2 linked regions of the Styela clava genome follow. The protein of the gene in region 1 interacts with the protein of each later gene in a pairwise test. Links are inferred from orthologs where the notes say so. Each region holds a gene or a part of one and is shown in the gene's direction. Other genes may lie near its edges.

What was found.
Region 2: the proteins of methylenetetrahydrofolate reductase (NADPH)-like (region 1) and proteasome subunit alpha type-1-like interact in a two-hybrid assay, tested with the Caenorhabditis elegans proteins (3 studies listed by BioGRID). The link is inferred for Styela clava from reciprocal best matches to the Caenorhabditis elegans genes mthf-1 and pas-6.

The regions. Positions count from the first base shown.
Region 1 is NC_135253.1:4,400,235-4,407,373, forward strand, and holds the start of methylenetetrahydrofolate reductase (NADPH)-like, read left to right. Parts: upstream 1-4,126; 5' UTR 4,127-4,231; coding exon 4,232-4,473; intron 4,474-4,886; coding exon 4,887-5,125; intron 5,126-5,479; coding exon 5,480-5,590; intron 5,591-6,010; coding exon 6,011-6,204; intron 6,205-7,043; coding exon 7,044-7,139.
Region 2 is NC_135255.1:11,108,209-11,115,540, forward strand, and holds the start of proteasome subunit alpha type-1-like, read left to right. Parts: upstream 1-4,322; 5' UTR 4,323-4,478; coding exon 4,479-4,481; intron 4,482-7,173; coding exon 7,174-7,320; intron 7,321-7,332. Other genes in the region: mitochondrial inner membrane protein Mpv17-like, read right to left, coding at 2,651-2,750, 2,828-2,880, 2,950-3,078, 3,148-3,225, 3,422-3,531, 3,928-4,015. UniProt on the Caenorhabditis elegans protein: The proteasome is a multicatalytic proteinase complex which is characterized by its ability to cleave peptides with Arg, Phe, Tyr, Leu, and Glu adjacent to the leaving group at neutral or slightly basic pH.

The DNA.
Region 1 (7,139 bases):
AATTAGACTGGCAAATTAGACTGGCCGCTTTGAGGGGGTCTGCTTGTATGAGAGATCGGCTTATATGCGGGGATATATGGTATTAAAATGGAGACCATCCTGTCTTCTTACACACTTCTGAATTTAAATATTTTCGCCTGATAATTTAAAAAGCATAGTTGTTATTTTCTTGGGTTTGCATCACTTATGATTAGTTGTAAATGTCTGAGCATATATGTTTAAAATATGTCTTTGTCATATTAAAGAAAGTTGCTGTGAAATTTCCATTATTTTCTAGAAAAATGTCATAATTTGGAGTTGTCATTTTAAAATGGAATTTAAATCAAATTCCTTATGCAAGTTTTGTCGGCTATGTGTGCTTTTATTAACTGCATGGCCATTTTTTTTTTTTGAATGCTTGCTTACGATTGCTTTTCACTTATGAAATGATGCTTTTAACACTATCATTGTTTGTACACACATGTGGGTCTTTGTAAAATTTTCTCCCCAGATAGTCTTCCTACTAAATCTGCTCAGCAGTTCAAATCGAAATCAAGTTACTAAGACATTGTATCAAGTAGCATTTTGTTGACTTGAAAATTCATAAACAACTTTTTATGATTACTTTTGAATTATAAACTATCATGAACATCATTTCATTGCTGTTTTGTGTAGCAAATGACAACAATTTAATAATTTTCACCCTATTCTTTTACTTCTAATGCACAATGCTTTGCTTTCAATTTATTTTTTCAATTATTAAATCACTATTCAATTGATTTCATCTGTAATGGTATGTAGTACATCAATCGATTTCATATAAACTTTTTCTATTTCATTCACATTTCTGTAATCTTTTAATTAATAAACACAATTGAACTATTTTATAAAGATAAGATTAAGTTAATTATACGTTAATGTATTCAATTTAACATGCATGTTAATAGGTTACCAAGAGAGAATTATAATACTGCAGGATCCCATACAAATCATGCTATTTCAAATAGGAATTTATATCTTCAAATATCATTTTGGACATTTTTATCAAATTTTTAAAATCAGATTATTGATTCTTGTCATCCGATAAATAAGTATATGTGTGATTAAGGACAGTTGATAGATTCACATTTAAACTGTATATACTTCTATTAACTATTTATTGTTCAAAGTTATTTTCTAATTTTTAAACTTGTGTGTCGCGGGCCAAATCTTTCAAGTTTCTATATGATTTTTGAACTAAAAATGTTACAAGCTCTTTAGAATGAGCTGAAGTGGTGCTGTAATTTAGTTTTTTGCTTTTTTTATTTACTTATATTTGAGCTTTTAGTTATAAATATACAATGGAAGGTAATTTTGTATCTTAAGCTTTAGATTTTGAGGTTTGAAATAGAATAAACCCCTGCTTGGCTGGCAAGCGCCTAAACTTGAAAAAAAAATAAGGTCACAAACCATTGAAACTCCAAATTCAATGTTTAAAAGTTTAAGCCATCTTTTTGAAAAACTTCTTGTTGAATTAGTCCTAAAAAATGCTTTCTATATTTTAGTGGATAGTGCTTTTTACTTTTTAGTTGTTCCTTTTATAGTAGAAGTGCTTTTTCTCCTTCGTCATGATATCATTTTGGTACGTCATCATCTGGTATCTGGTGTGAAATAAAAGGTTTTGCTAGATACCTATGTGCGTGTTTTTGTACATTTTTGAGTTATTTGTTATCCTAGATTTGTTAAAAAATGTCCCATACATTCCCCGACAAGATTTCAATGCACTAAAAAGGTAAGGTTCGTCTTTTTGATTAGATCCCTGGGTCTCGCTGCTCGATAACCAGCTTTGGTTTCTCGCGGCTTCTCTCCTAGTATTTTGTGTAAAACTTAACTTTCTTACTGGTTGTAAAAAATGAACTTGACTTGACTGTGGAAGAACCATTTACGACGTCGGAATTTGCTAAACATGTAAGAAATGTCCTCATTGTTCGAGTTTTTTTACATGCTGGTTTCGAACTTGAGATGTTTTCAAGTACAACAACCATCAACGTGTTTTATTATAAACCTGTATTCGGCTGCATTGTAATCCGCTATTACATGAGAATAATGCTCTTGAATTAGGTGCATGTCTGGTGAGTCAATACCAGATTGTAATAATAACCAAGTATTATCAACGATAAATTTTTTTTTACCTGTGCTGAAAATTAAAAAAAAAAAAACATAAGTAATGAAATGAATATAACCAGTGGTGGGATTTAGCCGGTTCGCACGGGTTCTATAGAACCGTCTCACGGAATTTTATGAGATCAGCGAACCGGCTAGCATTACTGGTTACTGTCAATGTTCTGTTTGTGTCAGAACCGGCTGAAAAATATGACTTTTGTGAAGGAACCGGCTGACAAAAAAATTTGAATCCCACCACTGATTATAACCCTCGTGATGTTCTGCGTCTCCTACTAATATGCACGGTGATACTGTTAAGTTTATCAAGTCTCCTTGTGGTTTTTTTCAACGTCCGGATTCCGATTTGTTTGCTGCCTAATGTACACGGGTTTAAAAATGTATTTATTCGTATCGTACAAATGAACAGTTCAAAGTTGTATCCAAGTAATACTGTGCTCGAGTCGATTTCTTATTGATAACTTTATCCCCATTTCGTTTTTCTTTGTCTGAATTGATGGTCATTTTATAAAAAAAAAATACGGTTCTTCTCAGCTTAGTCTTCAGCCTACCCACTTTCTGTTGTTGCCTGATTTTGACTCCCAGCAACAAACAGAAAGAAATCAGAATTCACAAGCACATAATCGATGAATCGTTACCAAATTTTGTGCGTTTATTGTTTTATGTATGTGTTTTTCGGCCGAATCAAAACAAACTTAGCCTACTTAATACTAACTTGCTCGTCATAATTCTACAATATCTTATGTATATCGCTTTTCCTCCCTGTTTAAGTTGAATACTTATTAAGCGCGACAGGAAATCTTAATTGTTCTGTCAAAACAATATGTTTTGTCCTCGGTCTATGAGCCTGTGACTCGGATGACTCACAACAGCTAATAGTTAGAGAGAGGGAGAAAATATGCAACTCAATTCGGTATAGACTGGAGGGAGCGATACGACCAGGTCATCAAAGTCAGCTCCCCCAAAAATCAACAATGAGATTCACAGTTAATGTATATAAACCATGCATCATCTGATCCGTTTGACACACAAAATATTTAGTTTCAATATATACGTTGACAATAAGACACAAATTCAAAGATTCTGGGCGTTGATTCTTGAGAAAGAATAGTATATATATACAATATACGCGAATTGTTGAATTCGGGCGTTGAAGCTTGAAAAATAAAATACAAGTGCGTGACCTCAGGCTTTAAACTTGAAGAGTTGAAGTTGAGTTCTGGTCCAGATGCCTATCTTTGTGTCAAAATTCTGTTAATTGACTAATGAACTATCGCCGAACGCCTAAATAGCTCAGTAGTAGGAAAGCTTTAGTTTGCTTTCAACTTGCCTGACAACACCGAGTTTCTGAAAAGATCAGCGGACAAGCAAAACGCAACAAAATCTAAATAAAATAAATATTATGGATAAGAATGAGAAATGGGAATTCTAACAACAAATCGATACATGCGTATGTACAATTCGTGTCCAATAAATTTAAATTAAATAATTAATAACACTAACTTGAAATTGAAATCAAAAAAGCATGATAATCTTCTAGCGACTTTTGGTAAGTATAACAACAACAACAATCATCCCACCTTCAGCATCAACAAAAACATTTAGTGTCCAATAATGATATATAGGTGCAGCGTTGTTATTGGGTCACTCGACAAATAACAAAAACTGTAAATGAAAGTAATTTTTCCACGTTTTTTTCTTTTTGAGTGCCAGTCGTCATGGAATGTTATACAGAAATTGCGCATTTTCGGGAAAATACTACACCGAATTTTAATATGATAATATTTACGATGATGTATATGTGTACAACAATAAAAACTGTTTGAGCGCGTTTGTGATAAGAGTCAAATTGAAAGCAATGATATTCACCAATTGACGCGATATATCGTTTCAAGAACTCAACTCTCGCCTTCAAATTTAAAAAACAGCTGATGCTATGCATGATCAATCAAGCGTTATGTTATGTTTGGTATAAAAACGAAAAATTTCATCGATCGTCCCCATTTGCCTGTAACCGTCTGTGCGTTCGTGTGAGGTTCTGGAGGACTCTCTCGATGTATGTGTAATAAGTTAATACAGAAAGTAAACAAAAATGGTGTCTGGGACAGAAAAAGCAGATGCTGTTGAAAGAGATGAAGTGCACGGGGCAACAAATGGTTTTGCCTCCGCAACAGATGGATTGTGCAAAACGAATGACTCGTTGTGCAATGGCGTTTCTCCTTTCGTTTCTCTAAAAAACAAAATAAACAATCGTGTGCAATCAAAAGATCCATGGTTTTCACTGGAATTTTTTCCTCCACGAACAGAAAAGGGGGCTGCAAATCTTATTGGAAGGTATGCAATTAGGTTTAAGAATACTTATAAAATAAGTTTAGTTAACTCAAAGTGGTCAATATGGTTAGATATCTCATGCCCAAACTGTACAAATAAACGTATAAAAAACCGCAGGTTGCAACATGTTTAGCTATTCATAACTTATAAGTTATTCTAACTTTAGTATATTTTAAAATTAACCACTAGTATGAATTATTAAGAAATGACTGGTCTAGTGTTTTAGTATTTTTCACTTTCTCAAGGTAATTGAGAATGAATTTTACCAAAGTTGGGAATAATTTAGGAATCAAAGTAAAAAGTAGCTTAAGTAGTATAATGGAAATTGAGCTGCAAAACATATCTTTTTTTGCTTCAATTGCCAGTATATGAATGAATTTTTTTGCAAACATGAAATTGTGTCATCTTTTCATCAGGTTGGATCGTATGAGGGACGGAAATCCTTTATTTATTGACATAACTTGGCATCCTGCTGGCGACCCCGGTGGTGATAAAATAACATCCTCAACCAAAATTGCAGGGACAATTCTAAATTATTGTGGCATTGATACAATGCTACATATGACATGTTGCAATCAAACTAGAGAAACAATCATGAAAAATCTAGAAAAAACTAAATCATTGGGAATCAGAAGCATACTAGCCTTGAGAGGAGGTAGGAAAGAATATCACTTTTTATTATTGAAAACTCTATATTGAAACTAAACATTAAACTAAATATTTAAAAAAGTACACTAATTAATTAATTAAATATTTAATTGTTACTATTTCAGATTTCTATTTCAACAAATATAGGGTTCTCTGTTCTGTTTGATTGTGAAGTGTTCCATTGTAATATTGGCGCCTTTTCACTTGCTTTATTGATATCTTCATATATTGGAGTCATATTGGTATCGTGAATAAAAAATGGCATATATGATAGTATTTGTAAAGATACTTCTGAATTTTGTTCAAGTTGATGGGGTGTACTCATAAACAAAAGAATTTTTTTTAAATAATTTGATTTTAGATCCAACAGGCGACGAATGGGAAATGAATGAAAATGGGTTGAATTATAGTTCTGATTTAGTGGAACTTATCCGTCAAGAATATGAAGATTATTTCAGCATCTGTGTTGCAGGTAAGCGAAAATTGGAATTGAAAAATAAGTTCGCAGAACGTATTATATAGATTTTACCAAAGAGTTTATCTTCCGTAAGAGTTAATAGGTATATGAACTTACATGAAAATTTCCTAATATTACACTTTTTTTAATAGTTTATTGCATTATTAGTACTAAACCTATTTTACAGACAATAAACTTTTTTATTGATAATGATAAGCAAACTAGTGTATATTATTTATTTTGTTGAACGAAAGCACCAAAGGAAACTTGAACTTTTAACCCTTTGATGTTGTATTTTGAGAATAACATTGATCATTTTATTATATAATAACATTTTGTACATAATTGTGAAATAAAGTACGAAATATTGATTTTGGCTCAGAAGTAAACTTGTCTTGTGGCTTCCATTATCAAACAAGTATATTTGTCATTCAGGTTATCCTAAAGGTCATCCGGATTGTTCATCATATAAAGACGATTTAGTCAATCTCAAGAAAAAAGTAGATGCTGGTGCAGATTTTATTATAACTCAGTTATTTTTCCAAGCTGAGGAATTCTTAAAATTTCAGTCAGATTGCAGAAAAATTGGAATTCAATGTCCTATTATCCCTGGAATTTTTCCGATTCAGGTACCGCTAATTACGTTAAAGTTGAGTAGCATAGTTTACTCAGCACACACAGTGTGTTTGTTGAAAGATAAACAAATATTTGATATTATGCAACTTTGTTGTTTAACCACACAATTCTCCATGAATTTGAATGACATCATTTTTGTCAAGTATAATTCCTTTTTTGATTATAATATTTATCGATTATGTTTTTATTAAATATGTAGGTATATATGTAAATTTAAATAATGCTAGTCATGAAATATCTAATTTTTCCAAAACGAAATTTAAAAATTGGGAGTTTCTTTGTTTGTTTCTAGTTCAAACTTTTTTCAATTGTTTATTTGTAATTGAGTTTTGGATGACACTTGTCCAGATTATAATTGAACAACTAATCTATCAAAAAGCTAAAAAATCACTCCTATTTATGTTTCGCTGATTGATTAATTTTTGTCTGTTGGATATTGTTTTGGAACTTTAATTGATAAGGGAATGCACAACAGAAAGAGTTGCATCATTTTTTCACTAATTACACGTCATATAATGATTTCCGTGAATATGGTAATTTTGCTAAATTGCAAATCCAGCTGGTGATGCCATTATTGACAGGTTTAAAGACATTTAATTTAAATAAAGTGAATAATTTCAAAATGTGTATTATGTAAAGTAATTTTGAAAGGAATATTTTTTATGAAAACACATTATCAATTCACTTAGAAAAGTACTGGAAACAAATGTTAATCTTATCTTGGAATTTGTCGCCTCAGTAAAATGTACTTCTTAGTGCAAATGAATATGATTCATTTGCACTATCTGGCACAATATTTAACACTTTATGTATCGTTTTTGTTGTGCATCAGACGAACAGATCTCTTGTTCAACTGACAAAATTATCGAAACTTGAAGTCCCTGAGGATGTGCAGAAAATTATTGAACCAATAAAAGATAATGATGCA
Region 2 (7,332 bases), on another chromosome or scaffold:
GTAGACAGTCTGTGCAACCGATATTGGAGTATTTTTCGAAAATTTTTTTATTATACCGAAAAAATAACTGGGGCATTGCCCCGGTTGGCCCTATTGACGCGCCGCCACTGTGTTTTATGATAGTGGTTTGCCTACGTACCGACTTACTAATATTTAATTTGATGACAGCACATTTGAACGTACGTACATTTGCACCCGTAAACTGCACCTAGGACATTCGCACCTGCATACTTTTGCACCACCGACATTTGCACCCAAACATTTCCATCCATAGATCGTAGCACCCACATGTGGATTGCACCCGCGAACATTTGAACCCATGTGTATTTGCACCCACGTACATTTGCACCCACGAACATTTCCACCCAGGTACATTTGCATCCATGAACTTTTGCACCCACGAACATTTGCACCCATGAACATTTGCACACTGGATATTTGCAACCGCGGACATTTGCACCCGCGTATATTTGCACCCACGTACATTTTCACCTATGTTCATTTGCACCCATGCACATATGCATCCACGAATTCTTGTACCCATGGCATTCTCACGCATATGCATGCGCCTCATAACAGTCATGTTCGCGATTAGACAAACTTTAATTGCCAAATATAAATATATTTGAAAAGAAGACGGATTACAAATTTTAAGTAGCCCTTATTCTTAGTGAGAGTCGCTACGTTTTTATTGTCATTGCGAGTTATAATCCTTTCCAATTGTTCATGGGTGCAAAAGTATGCAGGTGCGATTGTACGTGGGTTCAAAGATAATGACAAACCGTTTAATTTTATCTTCACGTTGCTGTCTTGCGATGTTGTTACACTTCGCTAATGAAGCTCTTATAACGACGTTCGAGGTTATATTCTCCCACGACAGATATATTTTTACTATTCCTTTAGTTTCTTACTTTTGAAGAGTAGACTCAGTCTCATTAACCCAAGATGCGATTCAAGATTGCTAGCAGCCAAAAGTATCTATTTTCATGCTTTTCTCACACAAAAGGGTCACCACTAGTGCAAAATTGTTGACAGAGTATAATAAGTATAAGTATATTTTGATTTTCCCGCAAAAGAATCATACAAAAAACACAAGCAATGAACACACAGAAGATTGGGAAAACTGGCAAAACCTTTATAAAGGTTTAATACATGCGCCAGTTTGCCCACGTTCAACACACAAACATATATTCAAAATAAAAAAGACAAAGGCCAGAACGGGTATCAGAGTGTATTGATTAAAGAAAGAACTGATATTTGCCACGATTTTTTGGATTGTGGTCTTGCATGTCAAAGCATATTTATTTGAAAATTTTGTAATAAGCCTTAGAACACCAATGCTGGAAACCAACTGCATGAAAGATTAATGAAAACATAATATAAATCAGCAATTCAGACAAATTAATCTCGATAGAATCATGGTAAATTAGACACCTGTGACATACTATAAATCAGCAATTCAGACAAATTAATCTCTATAGAATCATGGTAAATTAAACACATCAATAGATGGGGTAAATGTAGGACGGGCTGCAGAAAGCAACACTTTATCCTAAACATTTATTTTGAAAAGCCATCAGTTTACTTATTTTGTAAAGATTCTAAAAAATCATGACCTATTCAGTTCTGTGATTAGCCCCCTTCCAACGAAGGGGCGGGAATATATGCATTTTATAGTTTCGTACAAATGTGTGAACATAAAATACTGCAAGCACAAGCATTTGGGAGAAAATAGTCTCTGAAGCTCGAGTCACAGGTCATCACAGAGCCTTGATTCAAATTCCAGAGTTGCAGAAAATTTCAAAAATGTGGTCAGTCATAGTGGATTTCAAAACAAAACTGGAATGGATAAATATGAGTAATATTGACACTAAGATTTGTAACTTCCATTAAACCAACTTAATCATGTATTAACAAATCATGTATTGACAACTTTTATATCGGTATTCGGTGCTAAAAATAACTATTTCGAATTTGGTACTTTAATAAGATATTTCCAATGTAACATCTACAACACAGCAAATAGTGTTTCTGTTGAGACGAGTCAATTGTTTTAGATACGCAACACTGGTTTGTATGGCCATCACATTAATTTATGGAAATTTACCAATGTATATTACAACGAAAGCAAAAAATAATAATTGGCAGTTAAACGATAAAATAAAACGCTTCCTTATGAAATTTAAACATAAAATGATTTGTTGAAGAATAAACTTAGGTGTGCTACATAAACAAGTTATCAGAGGCTACATAAAAAAGTTATCAGACAATTTAAAGATCTGCGAGGCAGTATTGCACTTAGTTGCTTACAATAACAATTGAAGAAAATCTACACTGCAATGTTTAAAAGATAAAAATCACAACCCCACCAAAATAACATAGAAATGTCTGGTACCATACCAGAATACTCCAAATACACTTGCAATATTAGTTCTATATAGCATATTACACTAAGCAATGACACTGGCACTATAGAAGTGTTAGACTGAGGTTTAATACTGCTTCATAGGAATATCTGCTTCTGCCATGAATACAATTCTATTATTCCGAATATTTTTTCCCCTTTTAATACATTTGAGTCAGGAGCAATGTATTTTTTAATCCTCCATCCACATTATAACAATATCCACCCCCTTCAACCTTGTCTCGCCTACATGACGCTCTCCATAGGTTGAATTCGTGTTTTGTTGTTAGTCCTATATGACAAGTAACAATTCCAAAAAAGTGCAATACTTTGTGAATACAACATCCTGCGAATAGGACACAAAATTGGTAAGTTGAAAAATGAAAACAAGTCATGTAATAAAAATAGTAAATGAAATCTTACCTGTATTGGAAAGGAACAAATTGAAAATTCACTATTTGAGCTGGGATCCATATCTTAAAAATATAACCTTTTATTTACACAAAACAAAAACAATTCATGAGCTATGGATATTGTATATTTACCAGCCAATTAATCTTCAAAACATCAGGTAAATCATGTCTGATACGATGTTTCATAGCCTTCGTTCCTTGACCAAATAATATGGTTTGCAAAACAAGGAATCCGAAGAGGAGGGGTGGAGACATAATGAACTAAAATAAGATAAAACAGTTTAATTTATGAACTCAAATATCATATGTATAATAATATAAAGTGTATACCTGATCCAAAAAGACATTGACTCCTGTTGAATATCCACGCATACTCAGAAACACATACCACATTGAAACTAAAGGACCCTGAAGAAATTTTAATTAAATCAATAAAGAAATAGCATAAATATCTGTGACTTATATTAAATATATAATATGACTAATTATGAATATTCTCATGATTCAGTTCAATTTGCAAACTAAGATGTGCACGATTTAAAAATTGAAATTTGACATATAATGAAGTTAATCGACTTTGAATAATACATAACAATAATCTTACAAGATACATTAAAGCACATGCTGCCATGATGGTTGTTCGTCGAAGGTCACAACCTTTTTTTTGCTCAACTAGTTTTTGTGAGATGACATCAGCAAATGTTGTGAGGATACCTTATATATGATAAGTAAAGCAGCTTTAAAAATACAACTCTCATGCCTGCATGCTGAGTGCAATTCCATCACTGGCACAACTGAAGTTATGAGAAGAAACAAGGTGTTTAAAAGATCAACAATGAATATCCAATAACAAAAGAGAAAATATCAGTAGATCAAATGAGTAATATGCAATAATGAAAATATGACATCTCAATTCATTCAGACAATACACAGATACCTGGATACAGCGGTGCAATACTATGCAGATATGGATCATGCACATCTGAGAACAAGTTGAAATGGATGGCTGGATGGGAACTTTTCATTCATAAACCAATACCGGTAAATTGAACTGTCTATTCTATTTTCAGCATTATTTCAATATAAAGACTGAAAAAAGGAAACGTTTACCTGCTGTGCCTGTTTGAGTTAGTAAAGGTCGTTGTTCCACAAGTTCTCCATAGGCTTTTAATAACACGTCGACGGTGAGTGTATTCATATTTCCCAACCTACCGTACTGCAAAACTACACACACTGATGCAGCGTTGTTTGGAAGATACCCGTAACCAAAGTCACTTTGCCCGTAACCTCTTGACGAACACTGACGAACGCTGACTGAACACGAAGTGAAATATGAGAAACTTTACTTCCGCATCGTGTTTCACGAATATTGTTTTTTTTTTATATTTATGTTATTAATACTTTAATAAATTTTGAATGTCTTCTAAAAATATATATATACATATAAAACTATTGTTAATTATCTTTGGAAACTGGTTTTGCAAAATTTTCGTTACGGTTCACCGAGAGCAAAACTGCTGAGCAATACAAGATTTCATGAATCATCATTCATGCGACGAGTTCCAGATCAGCGGTAGCTACTATATTGCTTAGTTTTCGTTTATTGATTTATGCTGCTAGATTAGTTCTGTTAATCCAGTAATTGTTTAAATTTGCTAAAGATGGTAAGTTGTTAAGATTAGTTAAAGATCTATTTATGTAGTAACAACACGAGTGCCATTTTGATAGCAATACATCCAGACATCTGTAAATGCAGTTGGAAACTATGCTCTATTTATATTTATGTGTCAAATCTTTTCCAAATAATTGAATTGACTGAATCATTTTAACCAAAATATTTGATTAATTACCGTAAAAGCAGGTAACTTCGGATGATTTCACTATATTATGAACAATTTCTCCGCCGTTTATTGTTCAATTGAAGCCAAACTTGGAATATAATACATTGAAGCCTTTCTCCTCGCGATAAACTCGGTTTCATATCAATCAATACTTTTTTTCATTCAAATTATTGACTTTATTTGCCTGCCGATCTGTATTCCAAATGTTTATAACTTCGGATGGCCACTTTTCGCTTTGCGTCACTTCGTCGTGAGAGAGAAATGTCTGCGTGATCAGTGACGCGTGATAACGTCGCTGCGTAGAACTTACGACGCCGTGATTCGTTTTGCGTGGTGCACACTGACGTTCATCTATGACGGCCGTTTTTGTTATTATTAATTCTTCCGGGTCGGCGGACATCAAAGTTTTATATATCTGGTGTACCCGTGTGTTTACATCGGCAACAGCTCTTGAAGACAAGAAGGACTGATTTCAAAACCCAAATTAATTTTGTTCTGATTTAATCTTACGTGTTGGCTTTGATCTTACTTATCACCGTTTGTATACTATTAATCGTTCGAGTTTAAAGCGAACGGTGATATTATTATCGTCGCCGAGATGGAGATATTTATTAAGACGATGATTGATGTTGTTATGCTTTGCACCCGCGATTGTGCGAATACTGAATTTTTATTTATAATAATGATTGAATAAATCGGCCGTTATGCATTTATACTTGGCATAAGGCTTTTGGTCCTGATAGCGGGTCGGACACTAATTATAACTATTTCCCTCAAGTTTTAACTTTTTTTTTGAACAAAACAATACCCCAACGGTTATTATAGCTAAAACCGTTACCGACTAATTCACAATTTTATCTGCGGAATTTGCGAACTCAGCACTTTACTCGACGATTTTGACAGTGTCGCGCCATAATTATTACCGCTAAATGCTTCAAAATACAACGCATGTAATAATTTTGCCCAGCCCTATTCCTGACGTTTCGCAAAACTAAACCATTTATCTCTTGACTATTCTTAATTTCATGAAAGTGCTATATCTTGCTATTATGATCGTTTCAATACGAAACAAAAATGAGACAACATGGGACAAATGAAAATAAAAAACGGACGAATAAAATAAGTCGTAAAAGTAAAAATGGAAAACAATTTTTAATACAAAACAAAAATGAAACGAATGAAAATAATAAAATAGAAAAATGGATGATGAATTACGGTAGGTAGTAAAAGTAAAAAAAATGGAAGTGGACAACAATATGGAACAGTGTAGCTTGTGGCCGTGTTGATAATTCAGATATAATGTATTCACAGGCAGATAGACATGAAACGGATAAAAACGCCAAAAACCTCCAATCTCCTGCTGTGTGCACCTGTGCAGAGTTTCATGCTCACCTGTGCAACATTCTACTCTTAATATATTATCATCGCCGATCGTAAAACCTTGTCATTGTGATAGTATAGATACGCGTATCTGGCTGTTCATCAGCCTTACGTATCAACAACATCTACACGGTCGAAGAATGCCGAAATGTTAACACACAAATTTAATGTGCATTAATCGGATTCACAATAAATAAACAGCATATGACCGGGGCTATAATTAAGTTTTTGTAGGATTTGGTGACGAGGATCAGGTAGGAGTTTTCACTTTATATTTAACTACACGTGGCGCCACATAGTCTGGCGTTCAAATGTCGCAGCGAGTTACGCACGAGCTACGCAATGTGACGTCGGCCTTAAATGGAGCGAAATTGAATCACGTTGTTGACGTCACGTTCAGCGTAAGCACCGTAACGTCGATATTTTGACGAAATTTTTAAATCAAAATAATATATTTTACTTAAATCTCGTACGACATCTCGTGATCACTGTAATTTTCCTTGTACATTGTGTATGCCCTCTAGCGATTGACGGTCTTTTAGTGAAGTTAGCGTCGATAGAAGTCGCTATTTTAGCCGCTCAAAAGCGAGGTGTCAATTTTTGGCAAAAAGGTGATTTTTTGTGTCAAAAAATAAATCCTATTAGGCGACTGAATATGATAAGAGATTAAGATATATAAGGACTCTCTATAGAAACTGCCAGAAGCAGAATATGACGTAATTTAGTCGAGATATAAACGATTGAAAATTTCATCCGAAGTTATAAACCATCCGAAGTTACCTGCGTTTACGGTATGTACCTGTGATAAAGATATTTTTGAGGGAGTCTTCATAATATCGATAAAAATTTTCATGAAATAAGTTACGGACTTTGTAGTTTGATATTGATGTTTTATTAAAAATGAATAAAAAATTGCCTTGTACAGTAATAAGCCATTTTGATGCCAGTCACACATGCATTTTAAGCTGACATGTTCTCGTACAGCCGTATGAGCATCAAGTTTCCAAATTCATCATTACATTGTAGACTACAGTTGTATCGTATACCTGCTTATCGGTGATAACATATTATACCTATATTATTATTTTGTTTCATAAACACTGCAAACTCGCAATGCAAAATCTTTTTGTTTTAGTTTCGAAATCAATATGACAATGATGTGACAGTTTGGAGCCCACAGGGACGTATACACCAGATTGAGTATGCAATGGAAGCTGTGAAACAGGGATCTGCTACGGTGGGATTGAAGTCAAAAACACATGCAGTAATTGTTGCACTAAAGGTAATGGGATTC